Pelodiscus sinensis: one gene and its partners. The protein of the gene in region 1 interacts with the protein of each later gene in a pairwise test. Links are inferred from orthologs where the notes say so. Each region holds a gene or a part of one and is shown on either strand. Other genes may lie near its edges.

Evidence for each region.
Region 2: the proteins of SRRM4 (region 1) and SRSF11 interact in binary tests that used the Homo sapiens proteins (3 or more experiments, as listed by UniProt). The link is inferred for Pelodiscus sinensis from reciprocal best matches to the Homo sapiens genes SRRM4 and SRSF11.
Region 3: the proteins of SRRM4 (region 1) and ZRSR2 interact in binary tests that used the Homo sapiens proteins (3 or more experiments, as listed by UniProt). The link is inferred for Pelodiscus sinensis from reciprocal best matches to the Homo sapiens genes SRRM4 and ZRSR2.

The regions. Positions count from the first base shown.
Region 1 is NC_134725.1:10,306,727-10,314,169, forward strand, and holds the start of SRRM4 (serine/arginine repetitive matrix protein 4), read right to left. Parts: upstream 3,097-7,443; 5' UTR 2,785-3,096; coding exon 2,474-2,784; intron 1-2,473. UniProt on the Homo sapiens protein: Splicing factor specifically required for neural cell differentiation.
Region 2 is NC_134719.1:20,887,633-20,895,919, forward strand, and holds the start of SRSF11 (serine/arginine-rich splicing factor 11), read left to right. Parts: upstream 1-5,106; 5' UTR 5,107-5,410; coding exon 5,411-5,538; intron 5,539-8,287. UniProt on the Homo sapiens protein: May function in pre-mRNA splicing.
Region 3 is NC_134711.1:211,583,523-211,591,580, forward strand, and holds the start of ZRSR2 (U2 small nuclear ribonucleoprotein auxiliary factor 35 kDa subunit-related protein 2), read right to left. Parts: upstream 3,315-8,058; 5' UTR 3,139-3,314; coding exon 3,092-3,138; intron 1,342-3,091; coding exon 1,262-1,341; intron 819-1,261; coding exon 686-818; intron 232-685; coding exon 123-231; intron 1-122. UniProt on the Homo sapiens protein: Pre-mRNA-binding protein required for splicing of both U2- and U12-type introns. Selectively interacts with the 3'-splice site of U2- and U12-type pre-mRNAs and promotes different steps in U2 and U12 intron splicing.

The DNA of each region.
Region 1 (7,443 bases):
CTAAAAAGAACTGAAATAGCAGGGACATGAAACTCCTTTTTAAATATCTAAAGCCAAATCTTTAGCAGATGTAAGCCAGCACAGATCTGTTAACTTCAGTTGAATTGCAATGATCTGTATTAATTGAGGATCTGACTTCTAGATTGTCAAGGTGGGAAGAGGTTAAAAAAAAGAAAACCTAACTCTATGCCAAAGGTTTTAAAATTGCTTATAGGACAGACTGAATAGCTGTAGGCACAACAATGAAGAGAGAGGTTCTGGGGTAAGCTGCTGTAAAATTCCAGGATAGTATACAATCCAATCATTTTCTTCTGTTAAGAACTGAATGCAACTCGCAGTATTCCTCAGTCATCAAAGGATGAAATTAATGGCAGCAACCCAAGAAAATGAGAAACCCTGACCTTAACACACTATACTGTGCTCCTAGTTCAAAGCAAAGAAACATTTTCTCTTTTCATGGTTCTTAAAAGTTATTTTATTCAGTCTTTTTATCCTGGTGGCCCTGTATTTTGATTGATTTTTATGAGAAATCCTCTGAGGACTTACGGATAGATACCTACACCAATTATTTGTTTGAATGCTAATATCAATTCAAAAGCACAAAAGACTAAGTAAAGAGCCATCATTTCTCTGTTTTAACCTTCCTAGACACTTCAACTCTTGCCAAGAATAAAGAGGAACAAACATAGATGTCAAGTAAAATATTGGTCTCGCTAATGGTTCTTAGACAGTTATAGACCAGTGTGTTCCATAATTACTAAATACAATATCATCATCAGATGTTTCAAGTATCATCTCTCAGATGTTCTCTATGGTATCAGAGGCAGATAGTAAGATATTGAGGCCTGCCACCTTAAGATTTAGCCCCAGGATGTAGCAAGTCTTAACAATGCTAGCTTCACAGATTTGGGTATTTCTAGGATGCACCTGCCTATTCTCATTAGTAGTCATTCTAAAAAAACCCAAAACAAACAACCCCACCTCCATACAAAAACAAACAAACAAACAACCCCCCCCACCTCCCTGCTACAATTCACTAAGTTATTGATTACAACATTTACAGGGACATTTTAGCATAAACTCAAAATTAGAGCTAAGTCACCTGGTTTGCAAGGAATGGTGTACACAAGTGGTTTTCAACTGAGGGACCATGCATCCAGGGAGCTATGTAGAGATCTTCCAGGGGATACATCAACTCATCTAGATAGTTGGCTAGTTTTAGAACAGGCTACAGAAAATCATCAGTGAAGTCATTAGAAGCTAAAATTCAGGTAATGACTTGTTTATACTGCTCTATACACAGAAATGTAAGCACAATAATTTCAGTTGATTTATTTTACAATTACATGGTATAAAAAAGAAAAGCAAGTTTTCAGGAACAGTGTGCCATGACACTGTTGTAATCTTATGTCTGATTTCATACGCCGGTACTTTTTAAGTGAGGGGAAACTTGGGGGGAGCAGAGGAAAACCAGACTCCCAGAAAGGGGTTCAGTTATCTGGAAAGATTGAGAACCACTGGGACACAAGAAATGTAGAGGTTTCTCCCTCTCCCCCAACAAATAGGCTATGCAAACATATTCCTGCTTCACGGGGACCACTACTCTGAATATTTGCTGGTGGTACTAGGGTACTGGTCAGCTGGGTCACATGTTATTACTGAAGTTTACTTATGGGATGCCTCCTAAAAGCACAAGGTAAGGGCTCTAGGCTATTCCCCACGGGAATATGGATTTGCAAGGAACGTGTGTGATGCGTTGGCATTCTGTGCACATTTCCCTGAACAGTTGTGCTTGCTTGTGTACTTGCCCTGAGAAGAAAGGTGTGCCCAAAAGGAGATTACTGGGTACATCACCAGTTCTGCAGCATTCACCCAGCAGTGTTTCTCCTTGGAAATCAAAGCTGCTAGGCTCTTTGCGGGAGCTTGGAGCAGTTCTGGAAGGGCTAAGGATGTGCAGGCTTTGTAGAGATTCCTACACTAAGCTCCAAAGATCCCAAGTTCAAATCCACCCAGTGGCCGCTATACATAGCCAGGAAATATCAGGGCAGGGCTTTGTTCAGAGTTAATCTTGAAATGATCAGACTTTGACCCTGTCAGTGAGTGCTACTACATTGTACCTGGTCCGTCTTTCCTGGTTCCCTCTCCTTTCTGCCCTCAGTTCAGCGCCTGGATGTTATTTCTCCCGGGACCTTTCTTTCAAGCCACGGCTGTGACTAGCCCCTTCCAACTATAGGACTCCCTGCGGCCGCTAACCAACTCCCCTGCAGGCGGACCGTGACCTAGAAACAGGCCCCTGCGGACCCCGCAGCAGGAGGGAGATGCTGGCTTAGTTTCCATGCCTGGCTGCCCTTGGAGCCCGGCTAGGGAACCCGAGCGCTCGCGGGCACCCGCGCGCGGAGTCTAGGAAAAGTTTCCTACAGAGCGGTGACCTGCGTCCTAGCGGCTCAGGCGCAGGGCGCGGCGGAGCCCTTACCTCGGCGGCGGCTTGCGGGCGGTGATGCTGGCCACGATGATGCTCTCGGGTCTCGGCGTGGCCACGGCTTTGAAGGTGCCTCGCCAGAACTTCTCGAAGAGCTGCTTCTCGCCCTGCTGCACGCTGGCCATGCCCGGGGCCGGCCCGCCCGCCGCGGGGAGCTCTCCGCGGTGCTGAAACCCCCGCCCGGCCTCCAGCCGCCCTGCGCTCGCTCGGGGCGCCTCGGAGCCCGGCGGCGCCGGCGCGCAAGGGGGAGGGAGCGGGAGAGGAGTGTGTCTGCGAGCCCGAGCCAGGCTCCTGTTTTGTCTCATTCACAACGTGACGTTGGAAGAGGGGCTGGCCATCCCCCCCGCCTTCCCCGGCTGCATCTGCATCACAAAAGGCGGCAGGGCGCGGGGAGGAGGCCGCGTGTGCCGGCTGCCACCGTGGCCCAGCGCTGGCTTCGCCGCGCCCTGGGCGAGATCAAAGCCCCTAGCCCCACAGCCCCGGGCAGCTGCCAAGCCTCACACGCGTTCGCCAGCCCCAGGGACACGGCGCCTCGGAGGGGAACTCATGCCAGCGCGGCCCGGGCTAGAGGCGGTGTGCAGCCCTTCCCCACGCTGCGCCCCGCTTGCAGGGCCGGCCAGGAGACCTGGCAGGAGAAGCCTTCGCCACCTGCTCTGCCTGACATTGCCCCCAGCCCTCAGGACACTGCCCTGACGTCCGCCCAGCCGACAGTGCCAAGCACCCCGCTCTGGGCCCCACGAGGCTGCCCGGCAGGCCAAGAAAGTCCAGCCCCCGGCCGTCCGAGAAGCCCAAGGCAGGGGGCGGTAGAGGCGGGGATTTGGGTGGGAAAGAAGAGTTGCTCAGAAATGGAGAGGTTGGTTCCAGCGGGGAGTTCAGGCAGAAAATGGGTAGATGGCTCCGGGCATAACAAGGGATGGGGCAGAAATCCTGCTGGTCTCTGGAGGGGCCGACAGCTGCTGCATTAGCTAGCAGCCAGGAGGAGGGGATTATCCTTGCCCAAACCTTCCCCGGGGAGCCCGGGGTGGTCAGCTCTGCTTTTCTCCTGGGGAGAGTGTGTGACCCTCTTGAACTCAGGGCCACAGTTCCTGTGTGCTGTGAATTCCTGTCATCTTAATTATTCCAACTTCCTCCTCCTCCTCCAATTCAGAATGCCCATACTGGTCATGTGAATTCTCCTTCTGAACCTCCCCACCTGCCATCTAAATACCTGCCAGACCTCTCTTGGCCCACTCATGCTTCTGTCCACATCTTTGCTTCCCTTCTTCCAGCACCTCCAGCCTGATGCTCCCCATGGGGGTTGTGCTGATATCCCAGCCTTTGTGCCAACACCTATGCGACACCACCAGCCCCATCCAGCTATTCAAACAACTTCTGCACACTATGAATCCAGCTCACAAGGCCTGCTCCTCTCTCTCCTCTGCCCTTTAACCATGCTCTCCACCCCACAGACTGTAAACTCTTCAGGGCGGGGGACTTGCTTTTGCTCTAGTGGAGCACATCTTGGCTGCTGCCCAGCAGCTGCAGTTCTACATGAACAGAATAAAGCCTCAGAGCCAATCAGTCCCATGGGGCAAGCAGAGCCATCTGCCCTTGAAAGCAGCGACAGCCCTGTGAGGTCATCAAGTGACCCTATCTGGCTGATGCAGAGAGTAGGCTTGGCAGTGGGCAGGTCCCAGCTCTCAGGGGAGTGGCTGAGAAAGAAGGGTTCAGACTGTAGAATCTACCTGGAAAACAAGAAATCCCAGAGACCTGTCCCATCAGGTTTTCTTCACCTGCAAACTGCTACTGAACAACCCTTAGGAAAGGGTTGCTGTAAACATCATGCTGGATAGTCAGTGCACTCCTTGAGGAAGAGTGACCTGACAGTAGTGCTCTATCCAGGTCTGCAGGAGCCCCTCGCCTTCTGATCTTAAAGAGGAGTTTCCTACCTGATAGTCCATGACAGCAGTACAGGGCCTCAGTTTGTGGCAAGGCTGTAGGTTTGCATTGTATGTGGCTACAAGGAAAGCTCTCCTCTCCATTAAAGGTCAGTGGAGCCACACCAGTTTACACTAGCTGAGAGACTGGCAGGGAAAAGTTCCAGTGTACAAGTGGATCACTGAGCTTTTAGAACATCATCAGCTTGATTTACCAGTCCCTATTGGATAGATTTGGAGCCAGAATAATCCAGACATCATGGAGGCAAAAATAGCAAAGGCTGCTTACAAACAATGGCACTTCCATTATTGCAACCAACAATGGAGTGGCACCAGAAGTAGATCAGTGCAGACATGATTGTAGAGTCTTCCTCCTATGTTTGTTGCCTATAATCAGATGTCCTAGAATTCACTTGCCCTGCATTATCTGGCTACCCTAAAGAGACACCAAAGTCTCTGAATACCAATGGAACCAGGTTTGGGAAACAGCCAGAGACCAGAGAAAGTCATGAGTGAAAGTCATTCAATGAGATACATAGGTGCTGGAACCCAGTGTGCACTGGCACTCCAACCTTGAAGTGTTTTCCAACATACACAAGGTTTGCAGTTTGGGTTCAGTGGCTCTTTGCACCCTCAGTATGCACATTATTTCTGCACCCCTGGTGTGACACTTTGTTCTGACTCCATAGGGGATACAGCTCCCCTTGGGCTCTAACCAGTATGCCATCATATATGGACAGGTGGCACCCTAGGAATCAGATGTAGAACGCATTCCTGTCTCTACACAGTTTCATTATCTAGATCAATGCCACATGCAATGATACAAGTTGGGGGCAGCTCTTTGATGCCAGTTGGACATGCTGAATTGTGTGCCTCTTTGTACTGAATAGAATGAAAAAAAATCTTTAGAAAAATTACTCCTTGTGCCTGATACTTTGAAGTACAAGTAAAAGCAGCTGACCTTGAATGAATGAGACTATATATATTGTACCTTGGAATCTTGCACAAAACATTTATGTAAGCAAGTAGCAGATAATAGAACCAGGAACAATAAGCAGTATGCATTTATAAAAAACCAAAATCACACTAGAGAAACCAGATCACTTTTTTTGGAGAAGCAGAACACCAGGAGATGAAGAGAGTGCTATAGATATCACAGATCTAGATTTTAAAGATCTGATGCAGCACTTCACAAAGCCTTGTGCAATGACCCTTTTGTCATTGGGAGGCACTGTGGTCTAGACTAGAGAACAGAACTCTGGACCCCTGGGTTCTATTCCTAGCTCTGACTCTGGTCTGTAGGGTGACCTTGGGCAAGTGGTTAACTCTCTGGGCTGTTTCCTCACCTGGAAGATACACATAAAAATGATACTGACCTTTGTAAAGCTCTTTGAGATCTGCTCCTCAATTACATTAGTGGTTGAAGGCAGGGAATAGGACTCCGCCCTTTAATGCTAAAAGCAGAGAACTCTGTTTCTGAAGAGCTAAAAGAGCTTCCCAAGGAGCTGGTGGCAAAAGCAAGTTCTTGGGCATCAGGCACTAAAGAACAGTTCACCCTTCAAGCCAGCAGCTTACACTAGCCTGAAAAAAACAAAACATTGAATTTGGCCTGGGTAAAGGAGAGGGGAGAGTAAAAACTTGCTGAAGGAATGAAGACAGGTTTAAGAATTAGGCAAGCTGTGGAGAGGTATGTGACCAGGAGCTGTGGGGTCTGGTGAGAGCAGGCCCACTTTTAACCCCTTACATGATGCAGCAGAAAGAACACTGGTTGTAAAGCATCTGGGAAGGGAGTGTCAATAAAGTGCATGGGTAGCATCTAGCACAACGGGGTCCTGGATCCACCCTGGAACATCTAGGCACTGCCCGATTGCCTTAAAAGATGATATTTCCGGATGTTATGAGCGTTATGGATGGAGAGACCTCCTGTGTCAGGGCAGAGAAACACACTAGAATGGTTATGATTATGACAATTAGTAAAAAAAATGAGTCATTTCAAGAAAACACGCTGTAACTGGGCTCCTTTGTTTTCTGACACAGGGCTTGTGAGTATACAACCACTCTGTGCCCTCTACTGGAGAAGACTCACACCTGTCTGCATATAAAGATCATCTTTATTGGGTGACCTACTTAACTGTTCTTGTTTAGTTCTCTGGGTGGAAATCTGCATTTCTGAAGCCAAGAGGCATGAACCTGAATGCATGTACATGACTGACTGACAATTACAGAGTATGTGTTCTGCAGCCATACATTGTTACAAAGACGGATCTTCCAGTATTAACTGTAATCAGAAGGAATCCAATAGGGTTTTTTATAAACATTAAATAGGTTCCTATATAGATATTACTCTAAAAATATAACTGAGAAGACTGACATTTCTCCAGGATTTCTAAGCCATCATGTAGAGTTGATGAGATCCATGCTAGGGAATTCTGCAGCCTGGTTTTCCAATTCTATATAGGGATCATCACAGGAAAGGGTTCACTTCGACAGGGTCTATAAGACAAAGAACATGCACATATCCTGTCATGCTCCTCTCTTTTGGGTGCAGCATAGCTATTACCTATTCATCACAGGATGTTTCAGTCTCTCTCTTTGTGGGGGAGGGGGAGGGAATACACGCTACTTTGCGTCGCTCATGTAACTTTAAAAGTCCATTAAAAATGTCCTCAGCCCCCACCAAGAGCATTCCATGGCAGCTCCTGAAGAAAGTTGCTGTGCATCATGCCACAGTTCCAGCTGGGTTATCTTGTGCTCTCAGTCTACAGTGGTGGTCTTGTGCTACAGGATCAGGTTTGTATAACTGTAGGGGTCCCATTCATCTCTACTTATCAGCTGCTAATAACACCACAAATTTCCTCTAAGAATCTCCACAACCCCCAAAGCTGATTGCTTTTAGCACTCAATTCATCTTGGACACTGACAAGTCTGTGCCATTTCCCTTTTGTTAATATTTCATTCCAGCCCCTGGTCCACATGCTCTAGCACAGAGTTACCACTCTTGGGATCTATAGGGCATTTTAAAAATCACTGCTTAACCTAAGTTCAGGC
Region 2 (8,287 bases), on another chromosome or scaffold:
GGTGATTTTATTAACAAAACAAAAAGATATACTTGGTTGCTAGGTGTCACAGAGCAACTGAGAAAAGAGCAGATTAAAAGAAAAAATGGTATCTCTGGGACAGCTTACGTACAGTGAATGGGGGGAGGGAGGCACATGGATTTCACTCAGAGAAGTTTAACAAAGCAGAAAATAAAGAAAAATACCCTGACCACAACTAAACATACATTTCTTTATCTACTCATGATCAGTACTGATCCATACTTCAAGGCCAAGTGCATTCCCATTGCCAATATTTCTTGAAGGCATGGTAATTCCATATCATCTTGTTTCCTCCAGCTTCTGACTTAGAACTCACACAAAGGCTATGTCTAGACTGCAGGCTTCTTTCAGAAGAAGCTTTTCTGGAAGAGATCTTCTGGAAAAACGTCTTTAAAAAGAGAGCGTCCACACAGCAAAAGTGCATCGAAAAAGCGATCTGCTTTTTCAAAAGATAGCGACCAATCATTGTGGACGCTATCTCGCATTCAAGTTGTGATTACTATGGACGGAGAGGCCACTAGGGCACCTGTGCTTTTTCCTGGAGGCCTCTTCTTTGGGGGGGAAAAAAAACCCCTCTTGCCTGTCCATACACGCTTTTTCCCGAAAGAGCTCTTTCGGAAAAAGGTTTCTTCCTCACAGAAAAAGGTTTACTGCTGTCTGAAAAACCACTGCGTTCTTTCGACTTTCTGCGAAAAAAACACAATTGCAGTGTGGACGTAAGTGTAGTTTTTCCCAGAAAAACTCTGCAGGGTAGACATACCCTAACTGAAGTGATCCATGACTGCAGGTCTGTTTCCCAATGAATAGACACACTATCAGCTGTTACCCAACTAGGCTAACAAGTTGTCACTCCATGCCACTGACTAAAACCTTATAAGGTCTGTGATAGAAATGTAACCGTGTTAGTCTGGGGTAGCTGAAGCAAAATGCAGGACAATGTAGCACTTTAAAGACTAACAAGATGGTTTATTAGATGATGAGCTTTCATGGGCCAGACCCACTTCCTCAGATCAAATAGTGGAAGAAAATAGTCACAACCATATATACCAAAGGATATAGAAAAAACAGTTTCTTGCCATTTTAACCAGAAAGGACACTCTCTCAATGACTTAACCACCTGCATTCTGCTACAAAGACCTTTTACATCTGCACTTGAAAGGGAATCCTCTGAACTGTCATTCATGTTAAAATTCGACACTCTCCGAGAAGGAATGAACAAATGCTCAAACTATCTTACCCATTACCAAGATAGCTTCCCCAATTATCACCTCTAATACCATTAGCTCACAGACATCCCACTCTCCCCACCTCTAATATCATCAATTCACAGACACTTACCTTCCTTCCTCCCCCTCCTCCTCCGCATCCCCCTCCTGTTCTGAAATGTGATTTGTCCTTTTCATATGTGTTCATTTTTTTAATTGTATTCTTTGGTATATATGGTTGTGACTATTTTCTTCCACTATTTGATCTGAGGAAGAGGGTCTGGCCCACGAAAGCTCATCATCTAATAAACCATCTTGTTAGTCTTGAAAGTGCTACATTGTCCTGCACTTTGCTTATAAGGCCTGTGACTCAGGGAGGCAGCACTCACCACAACCTCTCAGTGAAGTCACAGGGAAAAGAAAAAGAGCATCCAAAGCACCCTGAGTGCCCAGTATTTATGGACTATCATTGCCTAGTGATATCTTCCCATTCTGTTCCCTGGTCAAGGAAGAAGTCTGTCCAAAATGGAGGTTCACCTGTTGTTTTAAACACAAACAAAATGGCAAACCCATGCCCAAACAGTTTAAATATCCCAACTGAGTTAATAGTTCCTTTGTAACATATAAAGGAACCAATATTAACAGCTGCGCATTTCCCCAGACCTGCCAGCTGCCTGCTTGGCACAAATGTGCAGGTGCAAACAGACTAGGGAAGAGATGTTCAAGGAAGCAAATGCAATCTGACAACTTGGACAAGGAGCACATAAGCAAGTGGAGGAATATGCTTGCTGGAGGAACTGCACACAAAGCATCAGGCAAGGAGAGCGTTCAGGAAACGGGAAGTGAAGCACTAGGAGGGAGTGCTGTCATCCATGGCAAATGTGATGGACTGCATGGTGTCACTCCAGGACTCCTTCCTGTACAGGCACCCCTTACGGCCTTGCAGATCTATGTTCCCTCCTCCCAGAGTTCCATAGCATCCTCTATCAGAGTGCCTAGAATGTAGAGGGAGGAGAGTCAAGGGCAGCCACACGAGTCTCTCAAATTGTCAAAGTTTGAAGTAGGAATAAGATCCTCCAGAAAAGGGCGCTTTTTCCGGAGGATCGGGGCCAGTGTAGACGCTCTTTTCAGGCTTTTCTAAAAGCCGGAAAAAAGCGGCGGACATTTTTATTTAAATGCCGCGGGGGATATTTAAATCCCCCGCGCATTTCCCTACTACGATGGCTGAAATTAACATGCCCCTTCCGGAAAAGGGGCCAATGTAGACGAGCCCTGCTTGTATTGAAGGATGGGAAGGGAGTGTTACAGGCTAGCACATGGAATGCAAGGGTACCTCATTGAGAGCAACATGCATGACTCTGAAAACTGGCCATTCATAAAACTGTCTCTCTGATTTATTTGGGCATAAGATTTCATAGGCTCGATGAGCCCATTTCGTTACAAGCTAAAAAATGCAACCCCCCCCCCCCCAAAAAAAACCCAGCAGCATTCTGGGATGTATTAGAGAGGAGTATTGTAAGGAAGATACCAGAATTCTTAATTCTACCCCATGTTGATTAGGCCTGACTGAAGTATTGTGTCCAGTTCCGGGCACCACATTTCAAGAAAATATGGACAAATTTCAGAAACTCCTGAAAAGAGTAACAAAAAAAGATTAAAGGTCTAAAAAACATAACCCATTAGGGAAGATGGGGGAAAAAACTGTGTTTGTTTCGTCTGGAGAAGACTGAGGGGGAACATAATAGTTTTCAAATACATAAAAGAACGTTACAGAAGGAAGAAAAAAATATTCCTGAAACTATGCATACAGCACAAGAAGCAATGGACTAAAATTGCAGCAAGGGTGGTTTAGGTTGGACAGCAGGAAAAACTTCTTGTCAGGATGGTTAAACACTGGAATAAATTCCCTAGGAAGGTTGTAGAATCTTCATCATTTGCGATTTTTAAGCGCAGTTTAGACAGAACGGCTACGTCTAAATTGGCCCCTTCTCCGGAAGAGGCATGTTAATTTCAAACTTCAGAATAGGGAAATCCGCAGGGGATTTAAATATCCCCTGCGGGATTTAAATAAACATATTAAATAAATATTCCTGAAAGTAGGAATAAGATCCTCCGGAATAGGGCTTTATTCCGGAGGATCGGGCCAGTCTAGACGCTTTTTTCCAGCTTTTCCCCAAGCCGGAAAAAAGCGGCGGCCATGTTTATTTAAATCCCCCGCGGATTTTCCTATACTGAAGTTTGAAATTAACATGCCTCTTCCGGAGAAGGGGCCAATGTAGACGTAGCCAACATCTGTCAAGGATCTAGGTAATACTTACTCCTGTTGAGCGCTCTGGGGCCAGCAACAAGGGGTTAGGAAACATGGCCAGCAGCTGGGGCCGATGGCCAGGATTGACCTCCCCTAGTCCAACCAACTACTTTGCAACTGATCAGGTCCCAAGGGAACAGAACCAGGGAGGTCCAACCTATACTGAAGAAGCTGCTTCTCTGTCTGGATGCTTCTAGTGCATTTACTAACATAACCCCTTGATGTTAATGGATATGGGGGGGGGGGGGGGGGTTGGCAAATCTTATTTGTTACATTAACTTCACTTACAGCAAAATCAGGTTGCAGATTTATTTTGTTTTCAACATACATGTTAGAAAGGAATTACTCTGGAACTGAAAAATTAATGGGAAATTGTTATTCAGGTACTGTCGCACCCGAGATCATCTTCTGGCATTCAATTTAGTGAGTCTAGTGAAGACCTGCTAAACTGAATGCTGAGCGTGCCCTCAGTCAGCACCAGTACTCCTCAGTCGCAAGGAGTAAGAGAAGCCGATGGGAGCATTTGTTCCTGTCAACCTCCCACTGTGAAGATAGTGCCAAGCTCAGCTTAAGAAGTATGGACTCCAGCTACATTATTTAAACAGCTAGAGTTGAGTATCTTAAGCTGACCTTCAAGTCTAGTATTGACTAAAGATGTTAAGAGGCAGGTATCTGACTAATCATTTAGTTGATACAAACGGCTACATGATTAGTTGATAAGAGAAGGCACTCTGTACCAGCTCGCACTGGTCCAGGAGCTATCCCCACTGCAGCTCTGCAGTTTAAATGTAGTAGGAGCCAGGCGTGCAGGTAGCCCAGCTCATACAACATTTAAATTGCAAAGCCACAGTGAGGTTAGGACTGCAACTGGCACAAGCTAGAACTGAGCCAGGTTTGCTCAGTCTCAACTTTTGCTGGGTCCAGTAGTCCCTGCCTGTACCCAACCTGAGCCGCCACAAACAGAGGCTGCTGCCTTTCCGCGTGGGGGCAGCACCATGGAGACAATGCTGGGGGGGGGGAAACCAGCCGGCTCCTGTCCCCCTGCTGCCTCTGATATAGAGGGCAGCAAGGGGACGGGAGAGGAGGGAGTAGTTCTCTCGACTACTCTCTTACTTCCCTAGACCTGGCCTTAGGAACAGGCTTTGCCAGCTGCTGAGCTCCCTGGGTGCCCTCAGAGCCATCTGGAGAAAGGGGCGGCTCTGCGCCTGGCAGATTCAGGCCCTGGCGATTCAGAGGAAGCGCCCTGCAGCTCTAGGCCCCTAGAAGGGGGCGCTCAGGCAGGCGTCAGCTCAGAGCGCTCTAGCCGCAGGCAAGCCCCAGACTGGCCCCTCTGCCTGAATTTTCTCCGCCCCGCGAGGATTCAGTCACGAGCCCGGAGGAGGAAACAGGGATAACGGCCCTCAGGCCCAGACGCCTCTCCTGCTAAGTCCCCAGTGCAGCAGCCCATACTGCACATGCGCGGGTATTTCCATAGCCATGGCGCGAACATGTCGCATGCGCGAGAGCTGCACGACATGGTTGACTGCATGTGCAATAGCTGCAAGTCCTTGGGAGAGGTACAGGCAGTGGACATGCGCAAATGGGGCGTCTGTGGGCGAGGCGAGTTGTGCGTCTGCGCAAGATCATCGAAGTACGCGGATCGCGCTTGCGTAGAGAAGAGCAGTAAAGGATTGTGGGATACTAGTTACGGCCCGGGCAGGCTGCTGGAGCGGGCAGCTGGTGGCAGTTATTACTCCACAACGGTTGTTTTGTGCGCGAGGCCCGTGGTTGTGCCCGGACGGGTAGCGGCAGGGGACACAGCAAAACGCTACCCGGTTCCTAACGCGCTCTTCCCCTTCCCTGATGTGTTTGTAGCACTGGAGTGGGAGGCAGCGCGATGTCTTCAAGCAGCGGCACCGACGTGATCCAGGTCACCAATGTCTCTCCTAGCGCCAGCTCCGAGCAGATGCGGACACTCTTCGGCTTCCTGGGCAAGATCGAGGAGCTGCGCCTTTTTCCTCCCGAGTGAGTCCGCCAGCGGGAGCGGGCCCCTTCCTCCCCCGCGCCATACTCGCGTCCCCTCCCCCACTCAACGTCCCGCCTCTTTCCCATCCCGCCCCGCGCTTCGCTGCCGTCTGCCGAGGCACGCTGAGAGTGTCAGGCCCTGGGGCCTAGCTCGCCATCTTCAGGCCTCGGCCGGCGGTGCGGCGGGATCGGGCTTCCCCGCGGAGCTGTGATAACCCCCAGAGCCTGCCTCAGCACCTCGCTAGTGTAGACCTCCGAAAGGGAGAGTTAGCGGTGTGGGGGAGGGGGGAAGTGTCGTATCCCGCCTGTCTCACATGGCTCCTCCTCGGCCCGCAACGTGCCGGGTTACCTCACGGCCGGGCACTCGTTCCCGGAGCAATTTTCAAAGCATGTGTGAGGGAGGGCCCTGAGCCTATGGGCAGTTATCCCGGCTAAATGCACGTCCTCTTGCATCGCCGACTGCCCCGGAGCCTCCAGGTGTTGAGCTACGTGTGGTGGGATTGCTCTCTTACGGAGTCACCGCTCACCTGTTGGATAGTTTCCATTAACGAGCAGTTACTACAAAAATAGCTTTTGTTTTCCCCTTTTCACAAATTGATTTTTTTTCTCTCCCTAACACACAGAAAGTGCAAGGTGGGCAGTAAATCTTAAACCAGTTATTGGGTTAAAGTCTCGTAAAAATTAAAACCAGCAAACAGTGCTTTGCATTACTGAGAATGATGCCCCCACCCAATCTGCTTCCAATGGATTGCAGTTTTTTTTTTAAAGGGTTTCAACTATTTAGAAATGTCTAGACAGAAAAATAGAGCTTATGACAAGGTATAAGTTTTTACAAATATTTAACAAAAATATGCATATACATAATGATTATTTTAACGCACATCAGATCTGCTGAACTCACAAATTGTAATCCATGCTCAGAGAGCTTTTAAATAATTACAGTTTTTTAATTTATTGTGATACAAGAACTGAAAACAGCATGCCATCTGTTTCTGTTCCTTTTTTTTATTTGTGAAGCAGGATTGCCTTTATTTTCATATAAAAAGATTTTGACTGTGCCTGCTCATTACTCTCCCTCAGATGGTTTCTAATATACCCATTTTTTCACCTACTTTCAAATAGTTGCTGTTCGGGGGGGAGGGGGGGAAGAAAATTAACTGCAAAAGCGACTTTCCTTTGTGCCACATCTCTCTCTCCCCCCCACAAATCCTCCAGGTATCCTAGATAGATGTGTATATATTCTAACACAGGATTTTTTAGTGTGTGTGTGTGGTTTTGGCATCCTCAAATGAACACTGGCAATCTGAACCCCATTTCAATGCAATTTTGAATAAGAATTTGTAGTGTAGAGGAAAACTAGTGGATGCACAGAGATTCAAGTTGATAGGTTTTTATTATTGGAATACAGTAAAACATGAATGTTTTCATTTGTATATGGAAAATCCTATTTAAAGTGCCAGAAAAGTGTCATTTTCACCAAATAACAAGGAGCTAGTGTCTTTAGCAAGAGAAATCTGTTTAGGTTGTTAACATAGTTTTCTTCATTGTTTTGAGCATTTCACAATCATTAATTTGTATTATGTTTCGACATCTGTATGAAGTGGATGTTACCACCCCTCTACAGATGGGAAGTTAAGGCATGGAGTGGATTGAGTGACTTTCCCAAAGTCTGGTTGAACTGGGTATTGAATATATTTAACCTAGGTCTCTAAAATACCAGTGAAGTGCTTCTACGGCTTGTATGCATATAGCTTTTGGTAGTAGCTGCTTCTAGAAATAACTCCTGAAGCTTCACCTTTTTCTGCTAGAGAGTTCAACAACTCTCTTGTTTTTTGTATACCCCTATGTTGTTCTTAATTCGTCCCCACTTATTAACACAGGCACCCACATTCAATACAAGAATACTTTGTCAAAGCCTATATAATTGGTTGTGATAAGTATGAGAAACAGAATCATCATGTCTCTATCAGAGGTAAAAAAAAAATCTGCCCAGGATAGAGCAGTATTGGTAGGGTGCATGCATTCTTACTAAAGAAATGCAAAATTTCAAAATCATATATTTGCACTTGACTACAGTAGGAGACGCGTATAATCTCTTTAGTTTGGCACTCTGTCTCAATGGTACTTTGTCCATTTTAAGGTGGATTTTTGTTAGAGTACACACCAGAAATGGATTTTAAGTTACACATTACACACAGATAGACTTTGAAAGAATATTCATTAAGACCACAAAGTAAGCACTTCTTTAATGAAGGATACTCTTCTCTGTAGTACTCCAGCTTTATAGAGTGACTGAGAGATGGGTTTGTAGGAATAGAAGTACTGGTAACACCCAACTTTTCTCTCCAACCCCTGATTAATCACCAGAACAGAGCCATACTATGCACTGAATGAGGCAGGGCTTTTGAGGATAAAATAGGATATGGTTGTGTAATTAAAATAAATAAGCTAAGTTACGGTTACACAAGTAACTTTAATACTAACATTTCCCAATTTCTTATTGCATGAATTAAAGTTGTAACCTTGGTATTCTTTTAACTTGGTGTGTAGTTTCTAGGTATTTCAAAGAGCAATCTCAGAAATTCCATAATGTGTTGTTACATTAACTCCAGCATAGGGCATCAGCAGAACTGAAACATTGAGATGGGTGGTACTCAACCTTTTTTATACCGCGGAACAGCAAACCCATTCACAAACTTGTGGTGGACAGGTAACAATTGATTAGCATATTTGTGTATTGCATATTTGT
Region 3 (8,058 bases), on another chromosome or scaffold:
GTAAATAAACATACTGGACTTCAAGTATTGTGTATTTGCTATTAAAAAGAAAGACATTAATAATTCTCCTGAAGGATGGGTAGTATACTACAGTTAAACATTGATCTCAGTTTATACTTCACCTCCTCTTCTTCCTGAAGTTTTCTTATGGCCTCTTCTTTTTCCTTCTTGACCTTGAAGTCTTCTTGAGCCTTTTCTTCTCTCAGCAACCATTCCTCATGTAGTTTTTGCCTACCAATAAAATCGGATATTACTTAGTAAGAGAAGTTTAGAGTCCATCACTAAGTTGTTAACATACTTTTGTTTATATTTCATGTACCGTGGTTGCAGGCTTATTAAATACAATTATAATTATTGAACACTGCAGCATATTACAAAGACATTGTCCTAACATTAAATTTCCCCATAAAAGGTGCTTATCCAGGTACTTTTAATATCAAAATGCCATTTTGAGTCTGGAAAAATCAGGGAAAATTAAACAGGGTTTTAGACAGTTATACTTCCATTTTTTATTCTGTTGCCAGGAAACTCTGTTGGATCCAGTTAAATTTTCAGCAAAATTTGACTAAACTGCATAATATGGATAAATTATATATTTACTTGTCAGAGATTTTAATATTTAATTAAATAAAAGACTAAACAAGTTTTCAGCTGCTGATATTATTTTAAACACAAGATTATTTACCTTTCAGCCTCAAGTTGTTTTTCCTCTTCTTCCAGTTCCTCCTCTTCAGACAATGGTTCATCTTTTTCAGTGACTTCTGAGGAAAAAGTAACACGTCCCTCTACATACAATTTTTTCTCCTGGGCTTCAATCACTGTATATAACATAAATGCTATAATATAAACCTTCAAATTAGAGCTACATTAGTTTTAAAATAGTTTCTCCTTAAATTAAAAATTTAAAATGCCATTTAATCAAAGATATGAATGTGTTAGTGCACTCTTTTTTTTTTTAATCCTAGAGATTTAAATTTAAGGTTTATTTAGAAAACCTTTAAGAAACTTCAAAAATATTTACTATACATTGTTGTAAGTCATCTGACATTGTATGTGGGAAATATTGTGCTACATGTACTTATCTTCTAAAGAAAAATTTTATATTATAAATTCCATTTTTCTGGAGCATCATTAAAATTGTGTGTGTTCTGGACCATCATAAAAGTAGGCTCATATTTTAATGTTCCTTTCTTTCTCCTAATAAGAATTAGTAATGCGTACATTGTTACAAAGTATCAAAAATAAAGGCTTAGTTGTTTACCTGAATCTCTTAACCTGGCAAGTGCTTGCCTTTTTTTCTTTCGTTTCTCTTTCTTCAGAATAGCTCTGTATTTTTTATGGCTGAAAAAGGCAAAGTATATCACCTATATTATGAAAAGTCTTCAGAACATTTTTCATTACATAGTTAAAAATAACATTTCATATTCAAATTTCAGCAACACTAATTCATAAAATCAAAGATATTAAATAACACCAAATATTCACCGATGCAGTATTTCTCAAATTGTGCTCTGCGGAGCCCCAGGGCTCCGCAAGGTTGACAAACTGGAAACATCGATAGGTACAACACATACAATCAGTGGACCGCTGGGCCTCTGCATAAATGTTTATGCACGTAAAGGGCTCCGGAGTCCAAAAAGTTTGAGAACCGCTGTATTAAAGTTTCAGATGTTGGGTTTTTTAAAAGCAGGAAAATGTGTCATCAAAACTATGTCTGGCCAATAGTAATAATCATAGTTAGGCTTAAAAAAAATAAAATAAAATAAAACAGCAGCTCATTCTCCTTGAATTCTCTGCTGTTTTTGATATTACACTGCTGATCACAGATGCTTTATGATATGTGGAGAGATGAGACTTCGCACTGACAGTTTTGAACTCTGTCCTCTCCTAGTTATTCTATCTCTCGATTATTCCTCTGGCATCCCGTTTGCTTGGTCCTCTTCCTCCTCTCTCCTGTTGTCTCATATTACTCTGTCTTTATCCACTTTCTCCTCTAAATATTGTGTGGGTGTATAAAAGCAACAGAAAATTCTCAGATCTACCTTTCCAATTCTAAATTCTTGCCAATGCCACATCTCGGCCTGTGTCTGACAACTCTAAATCAATTAGACTCTACATTTATTTCAGCCAAAACTGAATTCATAATTTCCTTTTGAAAGTCTGTCTACTTCTCCAATTTTCTGTCACTATCAATACTATTTCTAACCTTCCTCTCATTCAGGCCTGTAATGAAGTTTTGTAGCTGGAGAGACAACTCATCTCTGATGGCTCTTTTTTACTCCAAATATCCAGGCAGCATCCAAAAATGTTGCTGCTTCATCCTCCATAATACACCTACAAATCTGCAATTTTCTTTCTGCTCAGTCCGCTGAGAACTCTCCTCCCCACTCTCAAGGACTATCTCCTACAGCCATCCTCCCACACCACACACTGTTGGAAAAAAAAAAAAGCTGTCAAAATATCTTCCCCTGAACATCCATTCTAAATGCATTATCCTCTTTTTTTAATTTCTTCATTTAATCCCAGTTTCCTCACATTCAGGATTCACGCTTCCTATCCTTTCAAAGCTCTCCACAACTCTTTAGCTCAGAGATAGTCAACAGGCAGGTTGTGGGTCAAATCCGGAATGCCAAACAATGATGAACATATGCCAACACGTTTTTTTATTATCATTAACATTTGTTATTTTCTCTAGAGTCTAGACCTTTGACTATGCCTCGACCAAGACATTTGGATTCCAACAATCAATAACCCCTGTTTAGCCCCTTCTAGTCGTCAAACCGTCACGCTCTTAGTCATCAACAGCAGCAGCACCCTTGTCTACCAGGTTCTCCATCTCTGTCAAGCCCGTTTCCGTGCTTCCTGTTAGACCTCCCCGCCTCGGAGCCCATCTGCCACCCGCTGGGGGGAGAGAAGAGGGGGCCGCTCCCCAGCACAGCAGGCAGGCGAGGGGCCCGGACTAGCTGCACGGCAGATGCTGGCAGGTGTGTGCGGCGGCGGGAGGCGGGGGGGGGGGGGGGGGGCTGAGGGTGGCAGATAACGGCAGCACGGGCGGAACGAGGAGCCGTCACGACAGCGCCGCCGGACTCACCCCAGCTTCTCCGGCGCCGCCGCGGGGAGCAGCACGGGGGCCGCCATGTTGTCTACAAAGGCGCGTCACATGATACAACAGGAAGAGGATGAAGCGGCACCTTCCTTCCGCTTCCCTGGGCCGGGAGGAAGAAGGGCGCGATGGGAACTACGCATGCGCGGCAGAGCGGCTGGCTGATGTCCTCTGCGCCGTGTCCTTGCTTGAGCGCCGGGCCTGGACCCTACAGCGACCATGGCATCCGACTCCCCCCCCCCCCCACGGGAACATGTTGGCCACGCCCCCTGGCCGTGTTAGCCACGCCCCTGAGTCCTTAGTCCCGCCCCAGCTGTCACAGGAAGTCCCGCCCCAGGTCAAGATGGACACGTGACCCAGAGTAAAGGGTGTCCTGTGACCCCCTCTGCCCCAAGAGCTCCCACGGGAGTTCTCTGCTCGGTGTCCCCATTTGGTTCCCTTGTTTCGAACCCGTGACCCGCACTCCTTGAGCCTCCTGTCATTATTTGTCCACCGTAATCAGTTGGACGTGGGTCCAGTTGTCCCTCCTGTAAGGCTGGGGAGGGGCTTTTAGAACGTGGGCGGGCTTTGCCCATGGTTTTCAGATAGACCCAAGAACTCCCACCCTCCTCTACCAATAGGGATGGGTTTGGGCCACATAGGACCCTCCTCCCCGCTACACTGGGCCAAATTTCGGAAAGTCCTCCTCTTTCCCTTCCATCGTTCCCTGGATGCGGCGGTATCCCAGAAGAACCCCATAGTCTAGACATAGCCTGTTTAAAGAACTTGTTTGTTCTCCCAGTCAGCCGGAACATCCATCAGGGACATATTCATGATAGCTGCTCCATTTTTGAGCTGTTATGCCCATCTGGATGCAATTAATTCTAATCATTTACTTGATAGAGCCTCCTAGCTGGAAGAGGATGTTGAAATGGTCTGAGATCCCCTTTGTTACTCTAACACACTATCTTAGAAGTTAATCACATTTATCATCCTTGCAATTGATACAGGTACTAGTAGTCAGTTACGTGTACACAAGTTCTACACAATGCCTTCTTGGTGATTCTAGGATCACAAGGCACTCAAATAATCTAGCTTCTTGGGAAGCAGTCACAAAAGAGTTAAAGAGCATGTTTAAAAAAGCCAGACTTATTTCAGTTGAGACAAAAAACAGTACATCACTAAATCCAACAACTGAGCTATCTGTATACTCTGGTGGTCATCTCTGCAGCATTTCACCTGATGTCAGAAATCAGAAGTCCCATGTAGAACCCATCACACAAAGTTAACATGCAAGTTGCCAGATCTGTAGTTGTTTTTGCCTATGTTGAAGATCAGATGCATTTGGAAAAGCTCGCAATTCAAATCCCCTTCTGCAATAATGAATCAGTTTCATTTGCCTGAGTTTGAAATATCCATTAACATTGCAGAGTGTAAAGGAATATTAAGGCATAAACTACTGATATACATCAGTACATGGCTGTGTGCTCCTGATGTTCCCAGAACTATTGCATAAAATTCACAAAAAATACCTTCTTCAGTTGCTAGCAATGAAGCAGTGATACGTTTTATAAAGTCATACTAAATGGCTATGCTAGCCACTATTTTCTTTGTCATAGTTCAAAGGGTATGTCTACACTACCACCCTAGTTCGAACTAGGGTGGTTAATGTAGGCAACAGGAGTTGCAAATGAAGCCCGGGATTTGAATTTCCCGGGCTTCATTTGCTTATGGCCAGGCGCCGCCATTTTTAAATGTCCACTAGTTCGGACTCCGTGCCCGCGGCTACAGGCGGCTCGAACTAGGTAGTTCGGATTAGGCTTCCTATTCCGAACTACCGGTACACCTCGTACACCTAGTTCGAACTAGGGTGGTAGGGTAGACATATCCCCAGCAACTGCATCTGTATTTCTTCTCTTCTCCCACCCCTTCTCCTGGCTCCTCAGTTAACTTTCTTGGGTGGAGACTCATGTCTTTCTCCTTCCTGACTGTGGGTTCTTCCGGGCTTCAGAGTTCTCTGCCTACAGCATGATATCTCCAGCAAGATAGATGGCCTAAACAGGCCAGCATCTCTGCTTGCTTACTCTTTGAAGGCTGTTAAAAGTTGTAATTGCCAGCAGTTACAAATTACCATACAGCTATTTATAAACAAGCACATTTATTATTAAAGTGAAATTATTATAGAGAAAATATTGAAAACAGTAAAAGAACCTACACATGCTAAACAGTCTCAGAGGGGTAGCCAGGTTAGTCTGTAACTAAAACGTCTTTAAAAACAACAATGGTCCTGTAGCACCTTAGAGACTAACCAAAAAATATGCTAAACAGTTTGCCAGAGATAATGCAAACCTTCAAAATCCACGACTAGGTCAGCCCTTTGGCAACAAGTTCCTCACTGTTCAGGACTAGAACTACCATGAATAGTTTAGCCTTTCCTGCGTATAATTTGGGGTTTTCATCTTAGCTGCCAGGAATATGTAATCGGCAGACAACGATCCTCTCATCAGGACTGAATTATAAAGCAGGACTCTCTGGTCCAGCAACATCTGTGGTCCAGCAGACCCACAGATGTTCCTGCAGCAGAGCCATAGGGCTGGGAGGCTGGCAGTGGGGCTGAGGGGTCAGTGGTGGGGCCAGTAGCCCGGCGGCAAGGTGTGGGAGAGCTGTCTGCACAGCCAGGAACCCAGTGGTAGGGGGCTCAGGTGGCATGGGCAGCCCAGTGGCACAATCAGAAGCCCTATAGCAGTGAAACTCCAGCAGCGCAGGGAGCCCCATGGCACAGCCGGGAGCCCCACAATGCGGCCAGAAGCCCTGCAGCAGGAAGGTGTGGGCAGGACTGGCAGCACAGCTGGCTGGCTGCAAGGAGGATGACAGGGACCAGAAGTGGAGCCAGTAGTGAACTGGGAGGCCAGTGGCAGGGGATCTCCCCAGATCTGACAAATTTCTTTGTTTGTGATGGGTCGGGTCCCAAGGCTGCTAGACCAGGGAGGGCGAACCCATAATGAATTTGTTGTTCATTAGAAGCAGCAGATGGCAGTAGTGTGCTATCTGAGAACTAATCAACTCCTTAGATTCTCAGAAAAGTTGTAAAAGACCTAAAACAGTATCTCTCTCAATTCTGGTATCTCCTGTATAGTTATTGAGTTATAATAGTAGTCAGTATGATAAATCTCTTAACTGAAATCCCTCAGCAACAGAAAATTAGGCATAGTTGTGAACCATTCTTTTGTGCATTCTTCACAATATAATATAGATTGAACCTTCCAAATCTGGGACTCTGGTCCAGCAATATCTGTGGTCCAGAAAGGCCATGGATGTTGCTGGACTAAAGAGACCTGGGAGTGGGAGCCAGCCAGGAGAATGTGGCGTCTGCAGAGTCACGGCTGATCCAGCAGTGACTAGGGAGGGGAACCTGGCATCAATGGGGCCAGGCAGTGTTGAGAAAGCTCCGCCCCCTGCTGGAGAACCACGGATGTCAGTGGGGTTAGGCAGCAAGAGTGGCCCTGGCAGCGTGACAAGCGACATCCGGGTGGCCTCAGCTGGGGAACCCCGGGAACCCCTGGAAAGTAGTGGGGCCACACAGCAGCCTGGGATCCCCAGCCAGGGAACCACAGGTGGCAGATGGTGAATTCTGGTCCCAGCAGGGACTCCCCAGTGGCAGTGAGGCCAACCAGCCCTGGTCACGAAAGCCTAGGATACTCTGGGTAGCAGGGGGGCCAGGCCACAGCAGTGGGACCAGCAGCAACCAGGGGCCCGGGGCCAGGGCCAGGGAACCCCGAGGAACCCAAGGAGGTAGCAAGAAAAGCAACAGCTGAACGGGGCTGGCAGTGGCCAGGTGGCCCTAGCTGGGGAATCCCAGACAGGCCATGGGTTAGTGGGGCAGAATCAGGGCGGGAGCCCCAGCCTTGAGAGCCCCAAGGAGAGGAGCTGGCAGTGAAGCAGCTAGCAGTGGAGCAGCTAGCAGTCTGGCAACCTCCATGGTCCAGGTCAGCTTAGGTCCCGCGGGTGCTGGGCCAGGTAGGTCCAACCTGTACTGCACTTTTCAGTGGTTAATTTCAGCATCCATTTGTTTATTATGATCACTCATTATGTCCTTATGGAAAAATCATTCTTAAGACTTCATAACATATTTAACTGGTTCAAAAGATGACATTCTGCCCAGCACTCTCTATGTTTATATATTTTTTGGGGAAAATATAGTAGTGTAATTTTGTCCATAAAAACTGATTAGTCTCATGTAGCCAGCAGTAAAGACAATGGTCCAGTGAAAATGTGATCATCCGTCCTTGCAATGTCTGTACAATATTGCGTATATGTATCTTTCTGTGTTAAATGCTCCCCAAAACTTATTCCATACATCCCAAATAGTATGGGGATGTTGAAATAATTATTGATGCAAAAATGGACAAATATGATGTCTAGATCAGCATGTTCCATTCATGTAACTAAAATAATCTAGATTTCTAATATGATCATTCAAGTTTTATAGTACATGGGTTTTAATACACATAGTTCTTTTAGCAGCAAGTTTCCAGTGGTCTGCAGAAGTCACGTCTTCAAATTGCTTCACAATTCAAACTGAGAAAATGTATTTCTGGGGATACTTCTTTTACATCAACTTCCATAAAAAGTAATCGTACATTTTCCCCTCGATTAATATCCCACAGCTCCAAAGCTGCAACTGTAAATACATGTGAACATATTTTTGCCATGCTGTGGTGCATTCCAGACAGGGTGCATCTACACAGCAGGGCTTAACTCGAAATAAGATAATTGAGTAGCTTATTTTGAAAAAAGCGTTCTTCCTCCTAAAATGAGGTTTTCCACTGTCAAAAAAACTGCCACGTTCCTTTCATTTACTTTCAAAAGAACGCAGCAACAGGCTAGACACGAGAAGTTTTTTCGAAAAAGGCCACTTTTGTCGAAAAATCCCTGTAGTCTACACACACCCTATGTCAAAATAACTGCTGGCTGTG